Linked DNA regions of Arabidopsis thaliana. The protein of the gene in region 3 interacts with the protein of the main gene of each other region in a pairwise test. Each region holds a gene or a part of one and is shown on either strand. Other genes may lie near its edges. The genes, in order: AT1G14990, AT1G36050, AT2G28315 and AT5G47530.

Region 1 (3,671 bases), on a different chromosome or scaffold from region 3:
GTTTATTTTTCAGATCTAAGAGGCGAAAATCAGAAGAATCAAATCGTGAAATCAAAGCTCTTTTACCTTGGAGGATTTCTCAGGTAGGAGAATGCCGCTTTCGGTTTTAGCGGGCTGGATGACTCTCTGCACCAAGATGCGGTTGAACGTTGGGATCAGACGCTTCATCATTTCTCAATTCTTCTTCTCTCTCAGTTGATGAATCGGAATTTTCTAGGGTTTCTGAGTTTTTAATTTGGGGCAGAGACACATAAGACGGAAGGTTCTAGATCGTAGGGTTTAGCGCGACAGAAAAAGGCCAAGGGTTTTGGGATTGTTTGGGCCTATAATATCATACTATTTCTTTAATGGGCCTCACTCATTAAAAAAAACCAGTCGCATTTGTGTTTGTCTAAATAAATTCTTGGAAGTGTTGTATGACCTTGCAGCTCAAATGGTTAGTTCCTTCCATGATTCTCTTTGCCAAGTTTTTCAAACTCCATGTACAATCCCATTTCATATACCACATCCAGAATGAGATGTTTATTTTCGGCAGATTTTTCGTGGAATGAAATCTTGACCTTTCTTTTATCAAACGTCTCTGCTGATGATGGAAAGCTTCTTGCTCTGTCAGTTTTCCCCATTTCTTTCAAGGTGGTAACCAAAGTTTTTCCCCGGATTGTTGCTTTGCTATGCTATATGTTTATTACATTGTGCCTCTGCGGGAATTACATGCTCTTAATTTTCAGAGTACAAATCTGAATAATCCATGTAAGCCAATGGTACGGTTCCGGACTTATACAAACACCATACAAATGTTCCAAGATACCAGGATTCGAATTTGCTATAACAAGATTAGGCACAAAGCTGAAACAAAGAGAGCTGGCGCCACTAGCCACTTCCATCGAGTTGGCCTTGAGATAGAAGGTGAGCCATGTATTGCTGCATTCACAATAAAATGAGCTCAATTCTTGGTTCTAACCCCACATGATTCGACAAACATTTCTATCAATGGCACCACAAAGTCAGTACCATCAAGATTCTAGACTTATGGAAACTGACCTTTACAACACTAAAATATCCGCACCACAGAGATTATCATAAAGAGATTGAAGAAACTTACGGAGTGGTAAACGTATGGAGATTTTCCCTGGCGATCAAAATGCTTAGCCATTATGCAGAATTCAACAGGACCCCAATCTTCAGATTCATAGCAATTCCCAAGCGCCGCTTTGTACAGCTTTACTCCAATAAACCCCAATCATCAGTTCCACACAGAACTAATCAACTATATAAACTGTAAACGACAACTCAAAATTGTCATCAAGGACAAACCTTAGCTGTGTCGGTCAAAAGTTCGGTGCCAGCAGGGTAAGATGCATAAAACTGATCTCCCCTGGAATATCCTGCTCTTGTTCTACACAACATTCGAATCAGTAACATTAAATCAAATTAAACCTGAAGCAGAAACCAAGAGAAGAACCCAGAAATTGAAATCATCTGCGAATTCCGATATTGAAAAGAAAGAACAACCAAAAGAAGCAAACTGAGATCGGACGAAAGACATTACGTGTTGTTTGTATAGAAGAATGTGAGGGCAGCAGTGAAGCAGTAGAATCCGGCGTAAGAGACAGCCCGTCGTAGCTTCTGGATCTTTATAACCTCTGAGCAAACATCCAAGATCATCATCTTCACACCTTCGGAAACTCTTTCAGGTATTATATCGAACACCTTGTGATCACTTTACCAAACAGAGATGACGAGTAGAAGAAGCATCTCACGAAATTTGCAATTGACAAATTGTAAACGCTTTGTATTGTCCAACTTTTTATGGGCCTATCTGACCTTTTTCTCTTTTCGGCCCAATAAAACTTTTAGATTTTATTTCTTTTGGCAACAATAAATTTAAAATAATATACATTATGGAAAATCATCTACAAACAAAAACCTTTAAATTAAAAAACTCACATGTTAATGCAATTAGGTTAGTAAGCAAGCACGTCTTGACAAAAATGTTATTGTTACACATTTAAAAATTCACATGTTATACAAGACAAAACATAAACGTAATGTTTTGCAGTCAAATAATGAAATAAATGAAATAATACAAAGGGATCTTTATGTAAAGGCGTCACCAATTAGTGGAAATAATGGAGCAAGCCACTACACTCTTCATATTGCTTTCCACTCTCCTCCTCGCCGTCTCCGTTGAGTCTCCTCAGCCACCGCTATTTCCCGATGAAGCTCTCCCCACTAAATCTGGCTACCTCCCGGTTAAACCCGCACCCGGCTCGTCCATGTTCTATGCCTTCTACGAAGCCCAAGAGCCAACCACACCTCTTCCTGACACTCCGCTCCTCGTTTGGCTCCAAGGTGGGCCAGGCTGCTCTTCAATGATTGGCAACTTTTACGAGCTCGGTCCCTGGCGTGTAGTTTCACGCGCCACAGACCTCGAGCGCAACCCCGGCGCATGGAACCGTCTATTCGGACTACTTTTTGTGGATAACCCAATAGGAGTCGGATTCAGCATCGCAGCCTCACAACAAGACATACCCACAAATCAGAGACAGGTCGCTGAGCATCTTTACGCCGCTCTCGTGGAGTTCCTTGAACAAAACCCAAGCTTCGAAAACCGACCGGTTTACTTCACTGGAGAGAGCTACGCCGGGAAGTACGTTCCAGCCATTGGATACTATATCCTTAAAGAGAAACCCAATGGGAAAGTGAATCTAAAGGGGCTAGCCATTGGAAACGGGCTGACCGACCCGGTGACCCAGGTTCAAACCCATGCGGTCAACGTCTACTACTCGGGTCTGGTCAACGCAAAACAGAGAGTTGAACTGCAAAAAGCGCAGGAGATATCTGTAGCTCTCGTGAAGTCCCAGAAATGGCGTGAAGCAGCAGACGCGAGGACCGAACTGTTGACGCTACTAAGTAACATGACAGGACTCGCGACGCTCTACAACACGGCACGGGCGATTCCATACAGAACAGACCTCGTGGTGGACCTCTTGAACCAGAGAGAAGCAAAACGTGTTTTGGGAGTGAGTGAAACGGTTCGTTTTGAGGAATGTAGTGATGAAGTAGAAGATGTGTTGCGGGCAGACGTGATGAAGAGCGTAAAGTTCATGGTGGAGTACGCATTGGAGAGGACTCAAGTCTTGCTGTATCAAGGTATGCTTGATCTAAGAGACGGCGTCGTTTCGACGGAGGAGTGGATGAAGACTATGAACTGGTCAGGATTGGGAATGTTCTCGACGGCGGAGAGGCGTGTGTGGAAGGATGAAGACGGTGTGGTCGCTGGTTATGTTCAGAGATGGGGGAATTTGTGCCACGTGGCGGTTACAGGAGCTGGTCATTTTGTTCCGACAGATAAAGCTGTGAATTCAAGGGATATGATTGAAGGTTGGGTTTTGGGGAAAGGATTGTTCGGTGGTAAAGATGTGAAGCAGACAACTTCGTCGAGCTTATACCATTCAATCTAAATATTGTGTACTTGTACTTAGTTCTGTAAGATTCAATTCAGATTCTAATTGTACTCTGGATTTAGATTTGTTACGTCATGTTCACAAGTTCATTTTAGTACGAATTGGTAACTTTTGCTACTTAGTTTATCATTTGCCTGTTCCTGAAGTCTTAAACTTTCTCAAAAAAGTTAGCATACAGTATACACTTAAGGATTGATTCAGATA
Region 2 (5,625 bases), on a different chromosome or scaffold from region 3:
CGAGTGATAGATAATAAGTAAAAAAAAAAGTAAAACAATTATCAAGTCTTTAAGTTAACACAAAAGATTAGATTTCTTTTTTTGTGTTTAACAATGGTAACCAAAGTGAGTTTTTTTTACGAGCAAACGTTGTCAAATGAGAAAGGAAGACTTGGATGATAAAAGTGTCCATGCAAATATAGAAACCAATTGCCAAGCCAAAGGAATGAGAGAATGCACATATATTAGGCTTGCACATTCGGGTACCGGTTTGGGTTCGACTCGAGTATTTGGATTTTGGTTTCGTACTAGGAATCGAGGTACTATTTGGGTATTTTAAAATTTTGTTCGGGATTGGTTTGGTAACCTTCGGGTTCATATCAGTTCGGATAGTTGATATGGGTGAATTGAAAATTATCGGATACAGTTCAAGTTGGTTACTTTATACTCAAATTTATCCAAACTACTCGAAAAGAAAAACCCGATGTTCCCAATCAAACCAGGCAATATAGGTTAAAGGAGATCATGAGTTTAGTTAGGCTTCAAATATATTCGAGTTCCCGTTAATTTATCAGGTATTATCCTTTTTGAACCAATACCGAAAATATATGAAGACAAGACCCAATCAAATGTTCTAGAGGATCCAAAACAGACCCAAACCGATATTTCGGATAGGTTCTGGTTCAGTTCTTCGAATCCGAGTATTAACCGAGACCTAACATATATTGCAATCGGAATTAATATATTCACTAATAACAACTTTCTCGTCAATACTAATAATGATTCTCTGTACTCTAAGCGTTTATTATGGAGACTGTTTTGCTTCTTTTTCTTCCATTCATTGAATCCATACACTACAATCAAAGATAGACTCAAGACTTAACTTCAGATTCAAAACCCATAATATCTTCAAAAGACAAAAAGTCAAAAGACGATAATTGTAACGCACGCATGAGGCTGTCAACAGCTGGATTGACACAACCCAAGACTTATCCTTCAATTTGCATTAAAAGAGTGTAACGTATCAATATGTATATTTTATATAGTCAGCTTAACAAAAAGAATTAAATAAATGACACCATATTACATTTGGAGCATGAATCGTATTATCCGCAAAACAAAAAGAGAGAGACGAAAACCCCAAAAAGGCTTAAAGGATTTAGCTAAATTTACCAATTTCCATCTTCTTCTTGATAGCTTTTTGACCATGGTATATAAACGCGTCTATTATCCCGGACACTGTGAAGACACCTGCGCATTTTTACATGTTTCATTTCGGATTTTAATGTGCGTTAACCAACAAGTGTTGTTATGGTATATAGAGATTAGAGAGATACCTCCAACTATGGCGCAAACATTCGTCAAGAAGTGCAAGAATGATATGTGTTCCTCCGTAAATGTTACCTACGGAAACGACACATTTTAGTTAGGATTATGACTATAAATACGCTCTAAAACTGCAGTTAAAACACACAAATACACTCACCTTGATTGGAGAGAGATCATAGAAGAAGAAAACTCCAGGTAAAGATTGCAGTTGACCTGCTTCTGAGCTCTTTACATGTTCGGTCACTGAGAACTGCCAATTTTACATTTAAGTTAAGATAGTACGCGGAAGAGAATGAATAGATAATGAGGTCGAACAGTTAAAAGCCTTGGTTCACCTGATTCGATTGAATTGTGTGTCCTCTGATATCTGTGTATACTGTTGGTACAACCTATTGAAAGCAGACAAAGCAGAATAGAGTCATCGCGGGTATTTTATAGACGAATTTGAAGTATATGATACAGTGTTTGTCTTGGAACAAACCTTGATAAAGTATTGGTACATAGCATTAGGTGTGTCTTGACTCCACTCGACTCTGCAATTTCAAGTACGTTAGAGAGTATGAAAAAATAAATAGTGTGTGAATGGAATAGACCAGAATGGTTATTTACTTGTCAAGAGGGTTAACGACGCCAGGAAAGTAGTCTCCATAAGTAAGTCTATTGATCTTGTGACTTATCTGCAGGGAGACGCAACATATTGAATTGATATAAGATTAGAAGCATAACGAATGAGTTGCAGTCAATAGGACAAGTCATTTCTTACGTTAAAACTGTCTTTCTGAAAAGCAAGAAGATCGTGAACATGCACGCCCGACTGATGAAAGCTTTTCCCAGGAGCAAAGTGGAAGTTCCCAGCCACCTTATTGACCTCCAAGAACCCATATATATTACACCCTTCACCTTCTTCATCCTTTACTCTTTGTAGAAAACCTTCTCGTTTACACTGAATCACAAACAGATAAGTGAAAAGTATTTCAGCTCGCAGTTGGAAGATGGAAACTCTTTGAAGCATAGTTCAGTTAAGAGCCTCCCAAGTGCATACTAACTAAACAAAACGCACACAAGCCTTGGAGACTCTAACAAAGAATAAGAAAAAGAAACAAGAAGAAAGAAATGAAACAAAACTTGCTACTATCGCATTGAAACAGTGATGCCAGGAATTTAAAAGGCGAAGAACCTTTTCTTAGCAATTTACCTGGTCAATCAAATCTGGATTAGTAACCCCCCAACCTTTCTTTCTATATGCTTCACGAACATCCTCACACGAATTGCAGCAGTCATGCTCTTCCTGCACGGGGAAAAAACATACTTCAGATGAAAGCTTATAAATAAATGAAAGCCAGATTGAAAAAGCACTATCAACTATCCTGAAAATGATAACTATATATAGTACAGAAACAATCCACTATGACATCTGTTTTTGTTTATTCCATTATGACCTCTTGACTAGCACTAAACAATCAAGAGTAATCTGAATATGAACTTGAGAAACCATGCTCCACAAAGTCAAATAGAGAGATAACACAATTACCGCTTCAGCCCCATAGCAAGAACCACAGTAAGTCTCATTATGTCCCAGCCTGCCACCATGTTTCTGCAGTGGGTTTTCAATCTACACAAGCACAAAAAAAAAAGTATAAGACTTTAAAGACCCCAAAAACAAACGACTTTTAATTCTTGACACTACTATTCCATTTGCCATTTGCCATTTGCCTGCAGTTTAATCCTAGCCTAATGACTACAAAACCCCAAAGAATAGAATGGCAGAGAGCAAACCTTAGTAGCGCCTATTCCGTCCTGTCTTGCCTCTATAGTGTTGCCATTAGAATCTAATCTTCTCTTTATGATATCATGTTTCTGTAACTCACACATTTAACAAACTTAATCAACGTCTCAAACACAAAAACTAAGATTCACTAAGCTATAACAGTAACCAATTTTACAAACATACCACGTCAAGATGAAGCTCTCCACTAATATCCATAGCATCAACACTAAGAATCGAACATGCTAGAGCAGGAAACGTAATATCAAACTGCATCATCAATGAAACTTATCAGACATCTCTAATCAAATATAAGCACAAACCAAGTCAAAATCACTATTAAGTAACATTACGTTGATGCGTAACGTCTCTCCCCTTGAAGTATCTACTATAAGCTTCGTCTCGGTGACTGTATGAAGATAAAGACCTAAACAACAGAATCAAAGAATTTCAAAATTACGAAACTGGATATGGAGATTCACAAAATTGGAAGCGAAGTTGTTAATACGTACGGAGCTCGGAGAAGAAGAGAAGGAACATAACAACGGAGGAGAGGAGAGTGATAACTCCGCCGGATAATGTACGGCTGTAAAAATCTTCATTGATCTTAGGATATGCATCTAGATTCCGCAATTTATTCAAGATCCCGGCCATTTTTAAACACCTCCGGGAACGAAATTGTCAGATTCAGTTCACCGGATTCAAATCCAGCACCGAATACGATTAGGTAGGATGTTCGGAGACAAAATCAGACGAGAGAAACGTCGTCGGAAGCGAAAATTCTTCCGACGATGCGTGAATAGATCTTGGAGAGAGTGATCGATGAGATCTTTGAGTCGTTCTTCTTCTTCTTCTTCTTCTTCTTCTTCACCGTCTCGTTTTTTCTCCGTCGGACGGAGGAGCGTTTGACGGTCTACGTAAACCCGTTCGTGTTTGCCGTCTTTCGCTTCATGAGTAAACGACGTCGTTACTATTTCATGTGTCTTAAGAGGCTTTTCAATTGTTAGCTTGTAGCAAACTAGGCCCAAATTTGGTCGATGAGCAAAAGTAAAAATGGATAAAAATATTGTTTTCTATTTTGGTTTTTGTCTAGGACTAGTGATGTTAATTTGGGTATGCAAATCCTATTTAATTAATGGTTATGAGTAAGAGTTTTTGACCCATTTAAATTAATTTAGGAAAAACAAGTTAAATGAGATTAAATGGATTAAGCCAACTAAACTCATTTATTAAATAAGGTTTCACATAAATAAATTGGTATCCAATTAAGTCTATTTATTTTTCTTTTTCTATTAGTCATCCTTAGTAAAACTAAATTATTCTATTTAACTTCAGTTTTTGGTTTAAATATTAAAATTACGTTTTTCCGCCACAACCGTAAACCAACATTTTCTCGACAAAACCGTAAAACCACGTTTTCCCGCTAAAATCACAAAAAGTGTTTTCTTGCCAAAATCACACAAAAAGTATTTTCCGCCAAAATTAAAAATCACGTTTTCCCGCAACAACTGTAAGCCAACGTTTTCCCACCAAAACCGTAAAATAATATTTTGTACACATAAATTAAATGACTTTAAAAAAATTAATACATGCTAATTTTTTCTTCAAATAAATATAAATACATCCTAATTTATTTGACCAATAACACATATAAAAACAAATTTGTTAATTTTTCTTTTAGTTCAGAAAAAAAAGTTAAAAACATTTGAGATATAGACATATAAATTTGTTTTTTTGTTAGTTTTATTTTATTTCTTTAAGATTTATATAATAAGATTTACAATCCTTAAACATTCATAACTCATGGATGCCTAATACCGGGACTATTTCCTGGATTAGTAGGCGCAAAATCATTTGTAAATTTGTTGTTTACAACTCTTAGATGCCCAATACCAGGACTATGTCCTGGATTAGTAGGCGCAAAATCTTTTGTAAATTTGTTGTTTATAACTTTTGGATGCCCAATACCAGAATTATGTCCTGGATTAGTAGGCGCAAAATCATTTATACATCTATTATTTAGATTATTTTTATTGTCAATTTTCTTTAACATTTTTGCTTCCACGAAATCTTCATTAGCATTGAAATGCTCATGACGGTCCATCTTCCTCAAATTTCTTGCTTCAATGGTGACAAGTGTTTTGTCAAATACCTTTGAGATGGTTAAACTGGTCACCACAATGATAATAAATAGCTTCATGTTTCTTTTCTCTAAATTAGATAAAACAATTATGTTTTGGTATATGATTAGTATTGAATGTTGAGTAAGGTTTGTCCGACTAAAACTATATTTACAGTGTCTATTCAAATTATTAAAATTATAATTATTAAAGTTTTAAATTCAATATATATATCGTATAACTGTTGTATCATATCTTTCAATTTTCCAGAATCCTCAAAAAGTAAATAAATATATATATGTATAACACCTAAAAATATGGGCTTAGATATATAAACATGTGAACAGTTAAGGTAATTGAGAAGAAGTTGGTTACGTGAAGATATGGTTGGATAAAACGTATGCATCATATAATGATCTTATAGCTTATGAA
Region 3 (4,586 bases):
GGAAAGTTTCATTGCCAATTCTCTTTGTAGGTCCATAAGACCATAACATAAAAATGTTATACATATACTATTCATGGAAAGATAAAACAACAACGACAACGTAGCATGTGAACAGAGGATGAATTCTCGTAAACGTTAGACGTAACGCACATGTAATATTTAACAATATACATATCTATATGTATATATGTTATAAATTGCATTTAAATTTTTTATATGGAAAGGAAAAATAAGAGCATAAAGCATTTCAATTATTAGAAATTTCTGGTTCCTGTTATCCTAAAAACCGATAATAATTATATGCATATGTCAAATCGCCCATCATTTTTCTTCCATAAACTCAAAAACTTCATAATTTATCACATTTTAATCACCGAAAAGTCCAAAACCGTTTTGAAACTAATTGTATTTTAAACACTATTTAGTACTATACTATTTTATTTTATCTTCTTAATAGAAAACAATCATTTGATCATTTGAAGAACACTAACATAAACCAAAGAACACGTACGAGAGAAAATAATTTTATAATCCTTGTAAGATCCAAAAAGGAGGAAATGAAATAGGAAATGTAAATATAAAAAAGAAGAGAAAATGCCCATTGGCTATTTCAATTTTTTCTCAATTACAAAAACATTATCAATGAATGAACAAAAAAAAGGGACACAATTATAGAGTCGAAACATAAAGAAAGAGTTATTGTACTATTTCATACTGGAGAATGCTTGTCTAATTTCTTGGCTTCATGATGGTTCTCATTTTCTTGTCCCAAAAGCGGCGTCGTATCTCTATCTTTCCCCTGTCAAAAAAGGAATAAAACCAAAGTACTTAGAAACTTTCAACACTCATTATTTCTATCTTTTCTTTTTGTGTGGTTAACGTACAAGAAAAGTGGAATCGGAGGAGGCTTGTTTGGATTTAGAAGCAACTGAGCAGAAGTAGGAGTAGAGAAGCATCCCGAGGACAGCGATGAGTATTCCTGCGATATTACGAGGAGTGAAGGGATCGTGAAGGAGAGTGTAACCAAATGCGAGCACCAAACACGTTTTGAGATGTCCCAAGACTTGGTATGTCACCGGAGATGTCTTTCCAATCACTAAAAACGTACTGAAGTTAACCGAAACCGCTATCAAACACGACAACGTTATGAACCCCTGCATGATTCATCATTGTCAAATTTCACAAAATTTTAGTATCTATCTAGGGACGTTATGATACAATCATGGCTCAACATGGGCACGGCTCTAAGGGGCCATGCGAAAATGGGCTGGACCGATCCAGGACAATGATTCTAATTCTATTTTAACACCAATTGGGAATAAATGGAATTAACGATGTAAAAAATTACCACGACGATGGGAGAGTAATGGAAGGAGAAAACATTGAGGCTAGTGAGGTATTTGTCGACAAAAGGACCCGAGACGAAGAGTATAGCAGCTTGGAACGGGGCTGATTGGTATAGGAGTTGTGTTGATGTCACGTTCAGTCTCTTCTGGATAGTGTTTGTTAGCTTCACCACAACATTTTCATAGTCATATTAATTATACTATGTATTAGTTATTAAACATTAGTTTAATGAAACTTAAAGCATACAATTTGGCCGACGCAAGTTGTGGCAATGGCAAGGAGAGATAGAACAGAGCCAACAAAATTGAGCTGAAGATCTGTGATTGATGCTATACCAACCCCAACTAGCAGCAAAAACAATGAGAATTTTATCTTCTGGCTGCAAAACCAAAATATGTCATTCAAAAAAAAGTTATTTATGTAAACAATAAAAATTAAAATAATCTTATGTATCAAGTTTGGTTCACCTGAACTTCTTGTTGAGGAAGAGGGTTTCTAAAAGAACAGTGAATGGTATGATAGCAAGTTTGGTCATCTGCCATTAGTTATGGACAAACATCAAATTGGTGAATCATATAATTGTTACATGATCAAAAGTATGTCGAAGATATATACTTGATAGAAGCCGATGGAATTAAAGCCGAGGCTGAGATTGAGGAGACCAATGGAAATGCCATTGAGGAGGCCAAAGAGAACAACAGTTCTCATGTCTATTGGTTTATTCTCAAAGAAGTTTAGTTTATATGCCACATGAAGTGTGCAATATGTTACCATCAAATGCCAACTAGTAAGTGTTGTTGCTGTAACAAAACCATAGCAAAAAAGCGATCAATCCTAAGACGAATAATCGGGTTTTTGATAAAGATCTTACAAAATATATTCTCACAAAGCAAAAAAAAAAAGTACTAGTAATTACCAAAAGGGAAACCAAGATTGGTCATCAAAGCTTTGTTGCAAATGACAATGGAGACAGAAGATGCAACTGATAGAAACAATGCTCCAATCACACCCATTTGCATACTCTTCATCTCTCCCATTTTTTCTTCCTCTCTCTCCTCTCAAATCTTCAAATCTATCAAATGAAGAGAGAGAAAGAGAGATATATATTGATGTGAGAAAAAGAGAAGGATTGTGAATGTGATGAGTGATGAAATGCAAAGGTGATATAATGAGATTTTTATTATTTGTTTGTATAAAAATGGTTGGTGTCTAACACCAAACTTCTGTTCTTCCTAATTTCATGTTTTAATAATTATGACATTTACATAATTACGCACAAGATACATGAGAAAAACTATAATGATGTTGCTTAATATTTGTTTTTCCTCATAAGAGACTTCTACTAATGATATGATAGCAAATTCTTAACCATAAAAAAGACTCTGAAATGAAACAGCCAATGGAGGGAGACATTGTATGGTTTTCTATGGACAAACAATTGACTTGAACTAAAAGCAAAAAGGAAGGTGAAACTGAATTTCTCATACTTTTTCTATTGGGCAAAATATTGTAAAATAGAAACTAAAATGAAAATTGAAATTATTTGGATTTGGTGTAAAGCTTCACACTCACTCCAAAGTCCATACCAATACCCTTCTCTTCTCCTTAATTTCTCTACCATTTACGTTACCTATTGAGAGCAAATATAAAATAGCCAATTTATGAAATTGGGTGAAATAGATAAATCATGAAACTGGTTATAAGTCTTGTTTTCTTATTGTCTTTTCAGAAGTCAAAAAGATTATGTAATAACAACCACTTCTATTACACCTTTGTTTTCTAAAGTTTTTTTTTTTTACATGTTTCACTTCTCTCTTGTTTAGTGAAAGCAATTTCTTTTTAAAAACATCTAAGAATTTGAAATGGAGAAAGTAACAAACAACATAATAAAGCTCAATCAAAATGTATAAATCTTACACAATATCAATAAAAAGGGCTTCACACATGTCCTATGAAAACCTAATTTAGTGTAAAATATTTGATATACAAAAGTAAAAGTTTTTTTAATATATTAATTATATAGAAAGAAAAAAGAAAAACAAATCTAATCTTTCACCATCTTCCCAAGATACTCTTTATCAGCATCAGCCAATCGGTTCTGAAACATTGTCCATTCCATTTTGCATCTATCTCTCACTCCTTGCCATGGAGCTTTCCCATTCTCTGACTTTCCTTGACTTCCAAGTGAAGGTATCACTTTATGTATTATCCATTGCGAATCCACAACACCAATCTTCTCATGAGCAGGCTGCAAAAGCAAAACACACAAATTTTCATCATCAGTCAAGAGAATATTGTGTTATTAAGGTAAGCAAGGGGGGGGCAAAAACAACTTACTTCAACGCATCTTCTAAGCGCAAAGTCGAGACCCCATCCATGAACCAGATCATTCTGCATCAGAAACATAAACAAACTGATCAAAACAACAAGCATTATTTTGATGGACTAAGACTAGGACTATGTATCTACAGATCGACGAACCTGAATCATATGCCACACACATCGCCATGCTTCTCGAGAAAATACAGGCGCCATTATTTCAACAAACCTGTGAGAGGGAATTTTTTTCAGAAAACTCAGTACTGACAATGACTAAACACTCTTGAGTTGCTCTAAAGAGAACGTTTCAAAGAGAGACTTACGCGGCACATGGAGGTAAATGTGGGTCTTTACACCATCCTGGTTTCTCTTTTGTATCTCTGTTCAACAGTAAGTAACAACACATTTCTTAATTCAGAACCAAATTTGAAAGAAAGGCAAAGAAGAATGGTTAGAGAAGGAGATCTTACTTATGGACTTCCCGGTCACCTCTCCTCTTTGTCATTTCCCATGTGAGTCCATTGTTAGGCTCTAAGCCTGGTTGAGAAATCTCTAAACCATGCTTCTTAACTAACTCAATGTACCTGAAGTTTTAATAGAATTCCATCACAAAATGTAAAATATAAGATTGTTCTGCTACTTCAGACAAGTAATAACTTACTTATCCGCATTGAAATGCTCCACTCCAAGATCTTCATCCCATATAAATATGTACTCATAAGCTGACACAACATCAGGATGCAAAAACCTCTTCGCGTACCACCTGCCAAAACCAGTAGAGAATTTCGATAAAAACATACTCGACAAACATACTTAATAACCGGTAAATGACCAGATGACTAACCATTTTGTTTGCTTTCTTGTACTAATATGAATCGCGCTCTTCGACCACTCAAATTGGTCCCATTCAGTTGTCCGGC
Region 4 (4,197 bases), on a different chromosome or scaffold from region 3:
AACATAATGATGATTGTCACTTGTCAGTCCAACGTGATTGTACTGAGATTATCGTCACTGTTGTGCAGCTGTTTGCAGCGAACCAAAACAAGCCTGCGGATATAGTCAACATTCTGGTGGCCAACAGAAGCAAGCTTCTGAGATTGTTGGCTGATTTGAAACCAGACAAAGGTATGAAACTAATCTTGTTAAGTGAAACGCTTGTATCCGATCCTTCTGCTCCTTAACCTTATTAAAGCATTGTTTGGTTCATTTGGTTGACAGAGGATGAGAGGTTTGAAGCAGACAAAAGTCAGGTTTTGAGAGAAATCGCAGCCCTTGAACCTCGAGATCTTGCTTGAACCAACTAATGCAATTCATCCTTCCTTCCCTTTTAAAACACTCGAAAAGACATTTTTGAAGCATCTTGTTGTTTTTTTACATTAGGTAACCAATCTTCCTCTCACTTTCTCACCACACACACACACACACACACACACACACACACACATACACATACGAGATATCTATTCGATATATGTATTCATATGTACACTACTTCACTGTCGATGAAATAAAATGGTTTGTCAAAAGCTCACATCATGAATGTTGTAAAAGAGCACAAGAGTCTTTCAACTTCAACAACTATTAAACATCAAATGTATTAACTTAATCTCGAAAACAAACAAAAATTAACAACCACAAGCCCATAATGACCAAATAAACCAGAACATTTTACTCTAATCTTTACAGAGTCTACACGTATAGAGACCGACCATCGTTGCCTACTCGTTGACTTGTTTTCGCAGATGCCTCTGCTTTCCCTCTCTTTATGACTACATACCAAGTAAACCCTTCGAGCACAACCGCGACTATACCTAGTACTACGATTATGGCGGTGTAAGCGTTTCTCCACTGCTTCTCAGGGCTCAGGATGTCTAGTCCTTTAAAAACGTTTACCACCGCAAGAATGATCACTGAATAGCCTACAGTGTGGTGATAAATGTTCCAGTAGACTCTGTACTTGTGCTCTGGTTTGGGTCTCAAAAACATTGCAAACACCTAACGTGTGAAACAAGCAACTTAGTAATTGCAACATATTCATGACAAGTGTAATACTCTCTGTACTGTTAACTAAAACCTACCTGAATTGTTGCGAGGCAGAAGAGAGCGATCCCAACAGCACGGTGAAAGGTAAACTGAATCCCGGCTGATTCGTTGCCCAGTTTGAGACCGGTCGCCCAACCGGCAACACCAATGATGTAAGCAGAAGACTGGCAGAAAACATGAAGGTAGAACCAAGCAGGATCTGCTGATTTTGAGACTTTCAAGTAGCGAGCAATGATTGCTCCTATTGGCATCATTATACCCCAGCTCACACCGTTCAATATTCCATGTATCTGCAATAATGATTAGGAGTGATAAGTTTCATAAAACCAACTAACAATGATGGGATTGATAAATCTCATTTCATATGTGAGATTCCTAAAAAACATGAAATGAAGAAATTGATAAAACCATGGACTCACGTTGCGTTTGCGTAGCTTGGAAGCTCCTCCTGCTCCGGTAGAGGTGGATCCAGATGCACCAGAGACAAGGTTAAGAGTAGAAACAGAACGAACATTGTTGCCAGAAGTTGGATGAGGCAGAGGATTGTTCCCTGACAGTGACCCATCTTGCCACACAGTGTTAATGATTCCACCATTCGCAAGTGGAAGATTCAGAATTGCGTAGATGACCATCTCGTTGTTTTGGTAAGTGGCAGACAACTGAGAGACGTTGAAACTCAGCTCAGCTTCTAGGAGACTCGTTTGGTAGCTACTGATGGGTGACGTATAAGCCCTAACGGTGCCGTCTGATTGTGGATAAGCCACAATGGCTTGAGCTCCGACCATGCCAGTAGATGTGGGATTCACGGCCCATGCCACCCATTTCCCGGGGGTGAGCTTTGTGTGGCGATACGCGATTTGGAGATTGCCTGAAGAAGAATCGTAAGTGTAGTGGAGGAAGGAATCAAGAACAGGTAGGTCGTTGCAAGACTCAAAGAGACGGTTGGTGGAGAATTTGTAGTTGGAACATTTCTGAGCCAAGGCGGATTTGGTGATGATGAAAATGAAAAGAGAGAGACAAAGGAGAAGATTTGAGGATATGGCCATGGAAACAGAATCTCGAGTAATGATTAAAAGATGGATGAATGATAAGATTTAAGTATGAAGGGGAAGAGAGGAGAATGAGATTAAGTATGAATAGAAAGTGGAACAAGTAGGGTTTGGTTTGTTAGTTAATCTGTCTTAATACAGAATCTCTAATTCTCTTCACACGTGTCCTTTTTTCATAGTTTAATCTTTCTTTTAATCCTCTGCTTTTGTTCTTGTTCATCTATCAATTGCAATGTTTTACCTAAGAGTAAAAAATAGAAACATTATAAATGAAGCGTTCATTGTTTTCCCAAAAAGGTTTGACGTGTAATGTATTTCTTCCTTAAGAGTCTTTAACCCTCTCAAGCAAAAACCAAGAAATAAAAATATGAAGGGGTCATCTTCACGTTCAAAAACCAGTTCACACCAACTTTATTACGAGAACTCATTTCTCGTGTTTATTTTTTCTTTGTTTGTCATGAAAAATCTTTTTCATTGTATATAGGTTTTGTCATGACATTGCGCGTTAAGTTAGATTATAATCTTGGTACGCTTGGGAATTGGGATGATGATAAATTATTGAGCACACTAAAATATTAGGTTTCATTGGGTTTAGTGGTTCAATTGACGAAAGTAGACTAGCGAAGGGAGTAGTGGTTTTCGCGTAATAAAGGGCAAACACGTCTATGCCTGCAACTACTAACGTTGTGCATGTATGATGTACCCTAAGTAAACATCTACCACCTTATGAGTATGGACTGGAGCGGACCAGACCAACAAACTGTTTATGAGAGATTCCAATCCAAGGGAAGTGGTTGGGTTTAGCTATTTTTAGAGTTATGTTCTTCTATATATAGGCCGCGACCAACATTTCAACGGTTAAGACCATGTACATGAGTGATATTTTTAGAATATCATCAGTGTAAAAATTATTTTTTTATTAACCAAACAATTAGAATGAGTTTGATTAGTATCATTCCAGTGATTTTCTTGATATCAGTATCATCTACGTGACATCTCCTGATTGGTAGCATTTATTAAAAGTAAGAAAAAAAATATTTATCTATTAAACAAACATTATAAATAATACTAAAATTTTTTTAATGATACTTTGAGAATATCACCTATAAGCATGCTCTAACCAGGTGGATGTATAATAATGTCCTTTCTTGGTCAACGCTCAAATTACTACCTGCCACATGTCCCCCACTAGATTCTTTGGTGTAGCTGGGCTCAGTTTGAACTAGACTCTTTTATATGGGCTTAAGTGTTAATTATCAAAAAACAACCCAAAATGAGATATTTAGATATAATATGTTTTTGATGGAAAAAAAGGAAAGATATAATATGTTTTTTTGATGAATGAAAAGTATTACAATTATTCAAAAAATCACTAGTTTCCTGAAAAACAATACAAATTGCATAGTTTCAGAAGGATAATCTGATTTGGGTAGAGTTTGTTGATGTTAGAAATATAAATATTTTCTTTTATAAATAAAATAGGATGGAAAATCCATCATATTTGAAAGTTTTGTTGTGTCTAATAAATAACAGTAGAGTGTACATAATCGGTAACTTTTTTTTCCTTAACTAAAATTTTAAGTGAAACTAAAACAAAGGTGGTAAAAAAAAGTAGAGCCTATGGTAAAATAGGGTAAGAGGGTCCATAAGGGCCCAAGATGTTTTATTTTTGCTGAGCCCATTATTACCAATCCGAACCGAAATGGAAAAACTCCGGTCTCTTTCTTTCTCTCTCTCTCTGCCAGAGTTACTGCGTGTCTTTGATTTCCCAGAAGAAGGCGTTGAATCCTTTCGTTTTCCGATTCCATTTTTGGGATCTCTTGTTTCGTTTTCTTCTCTTTGGATCCATTCCATTCCCATGTTCCCCAATTTCTTTAATCGGTGTTGCTTCCACAAGGTAATTTTGTTTTCCTCTGCACTTCCCGAGAATAAAGAGAAGGTTTTTCTCAATTTTCCCCTTATGATTATCCCTGTAAATGCGAGTTTTTTGTCCTGTTTTGTCTAATGGGTCTTCATAATTCGTGATCATCAACGTTTTCTCTGTCTTGTGTGTGTATGT

Evidence for each region.
Region 1: the proteins of AT2G28315 (region 3) and AT1G14990 interact in a protein complementation assay, tested with the Arabidopsis thaliana proteins (one large-scale study listed by BioGRID).
Region 2: the proteins of AT2G28315 (region 3) and AT1G36050 interact in a protein complementation assay, tested with the Arabidopsis thaliana proteins (one large-scale study listed by BioGRID).
Region 4: the proteins of AT2G28315 (region 3) and AT5G47530 interact in a protein complementation assay, tested with the Arabidopsis thaliana proteins (one large-scale study listed by BioGRID).

What each region holds. Positions count from the first base shown.
Region 1 is NC_003070.9:5,166,484-5,170,154, forward strand, and holds AT1G14990 (uncharacterized protein), read right to left. Parts: upstream 1,782-3,671; 5' UTR 1,669-1,781; coding exon 1,550-1,668; intron 1,397-1,549; coding exon 1,315-1,396; intron 1,220-1,314; coding exon 1,103-1,219; intron 1,042-1,102; coding exon 1,012-1,041; intron 922-1,011; coding exon 871-921; 3' UTR 548-870; downstream 1-547. Other genes in the region: CPN10 (chaperonin 10), read right to left, coding at 67-171; scpl50 (serine carboxypeptidase-like 50), read left to right, coding at 2,130-3,464.
Region 2 is NC_003070.9:13,448,569-13,454,193, reverse strand, and holds AT1G36050 (Endoplasmic reticulum vesicle transporter protein), read right to left. Parts: upstream 3,991-5,625; 5' UTR 3,728-3,990; coding exon 3,586-3,727; intron 3,501-3,585; coding exon 3,427-3,500; intron 3,344-3,426; coding exon 3,260-3,343; intron 3,166-3,259; coding exon 3,085-3,165; intron 2,921-3,084; coding exon 2,840-2,920; intron 2,597-2,839; coding exon 2,504-2,596; intron 2,252-2,503; coding exon 2,072-2,251; intron 1,986-2,071; coding exon 1,918-1,985; intron 1,842-1,917; coding exon 1,790-1,841; intron 1,698-1,789; coding exon 1,644-1,697; intron 1,559-1,643; coding exon 1,466-1,558; intron 1,384-1,465; coding exon 1,317-1,383; intron 1,231-1,316; coding exon 1,153-1,230; coding exon of another isoform or gene 1,139-1,152; exon of another isoform or gene 834-1,138; coding exon 511-833; downstream 1-510.
Region 3 is NC_003071.7:12,086,694-12,091,279, reverse strand, and holds AT2G28315 (Nucleotide/sugar transporter family protein), read right to left. Parts: upstream 2,614-4,586; 5' UTR 2,385-2,613; coding exon 2,264-2,384; intron 2,148-2,263; coding exon 1,963-2,147; intron 1,883-1,962; coding exon 1,815-1,882; intron 1,727-1,814; coding exon 1,594-1,726; intron 1,511-1,593; coding exon 1,349-1,510; intron 1,155-1,348; coding exon 885-1,154; coding exon of another isoform or gene 876-884; exon of another isoform or gene 800-875; coding exon 710-799; 3' UTR 515-709; downstream 1-514. Other genes in the region: AT2G28310 (trimethylguanosine synthase (DUF707)), read right to left, coding at 3,392-3,595, 3,685-3,738, 3,829-3,895, 3,990-4,046, 4,137-4,250, 4,328-4,429, 4,511-4,586. UniProt on the Arabidopsis thaliana protein: Nucleotide-sugar transporter that transports UDP-xylose and UMP in a strict counter-exchange mode.
Region 4 is NC_003076.8:19,279,409-19,283,605, reverse strand, and holds AT5G47530 (Auxin-responsive family protein), read right to left. Parts: upstream 2,233-4,197; 5' UTR 2,136-2,232; coding exon 1,509-2,135; intron 1,380-1,508; coding exon 1,125-1,379; intron 1,042-1,124; coding exon 736-1,041; 3' UTR 545-735; downstream 1-544. Other genes in the region: AT5G47540 (Mo25 family protein), read left to right, coding at 69-171, 265-341. UniProt on the Arabidopsis thaliana protein: May act as a catecholamine-responsive trans-membrane electron transporter.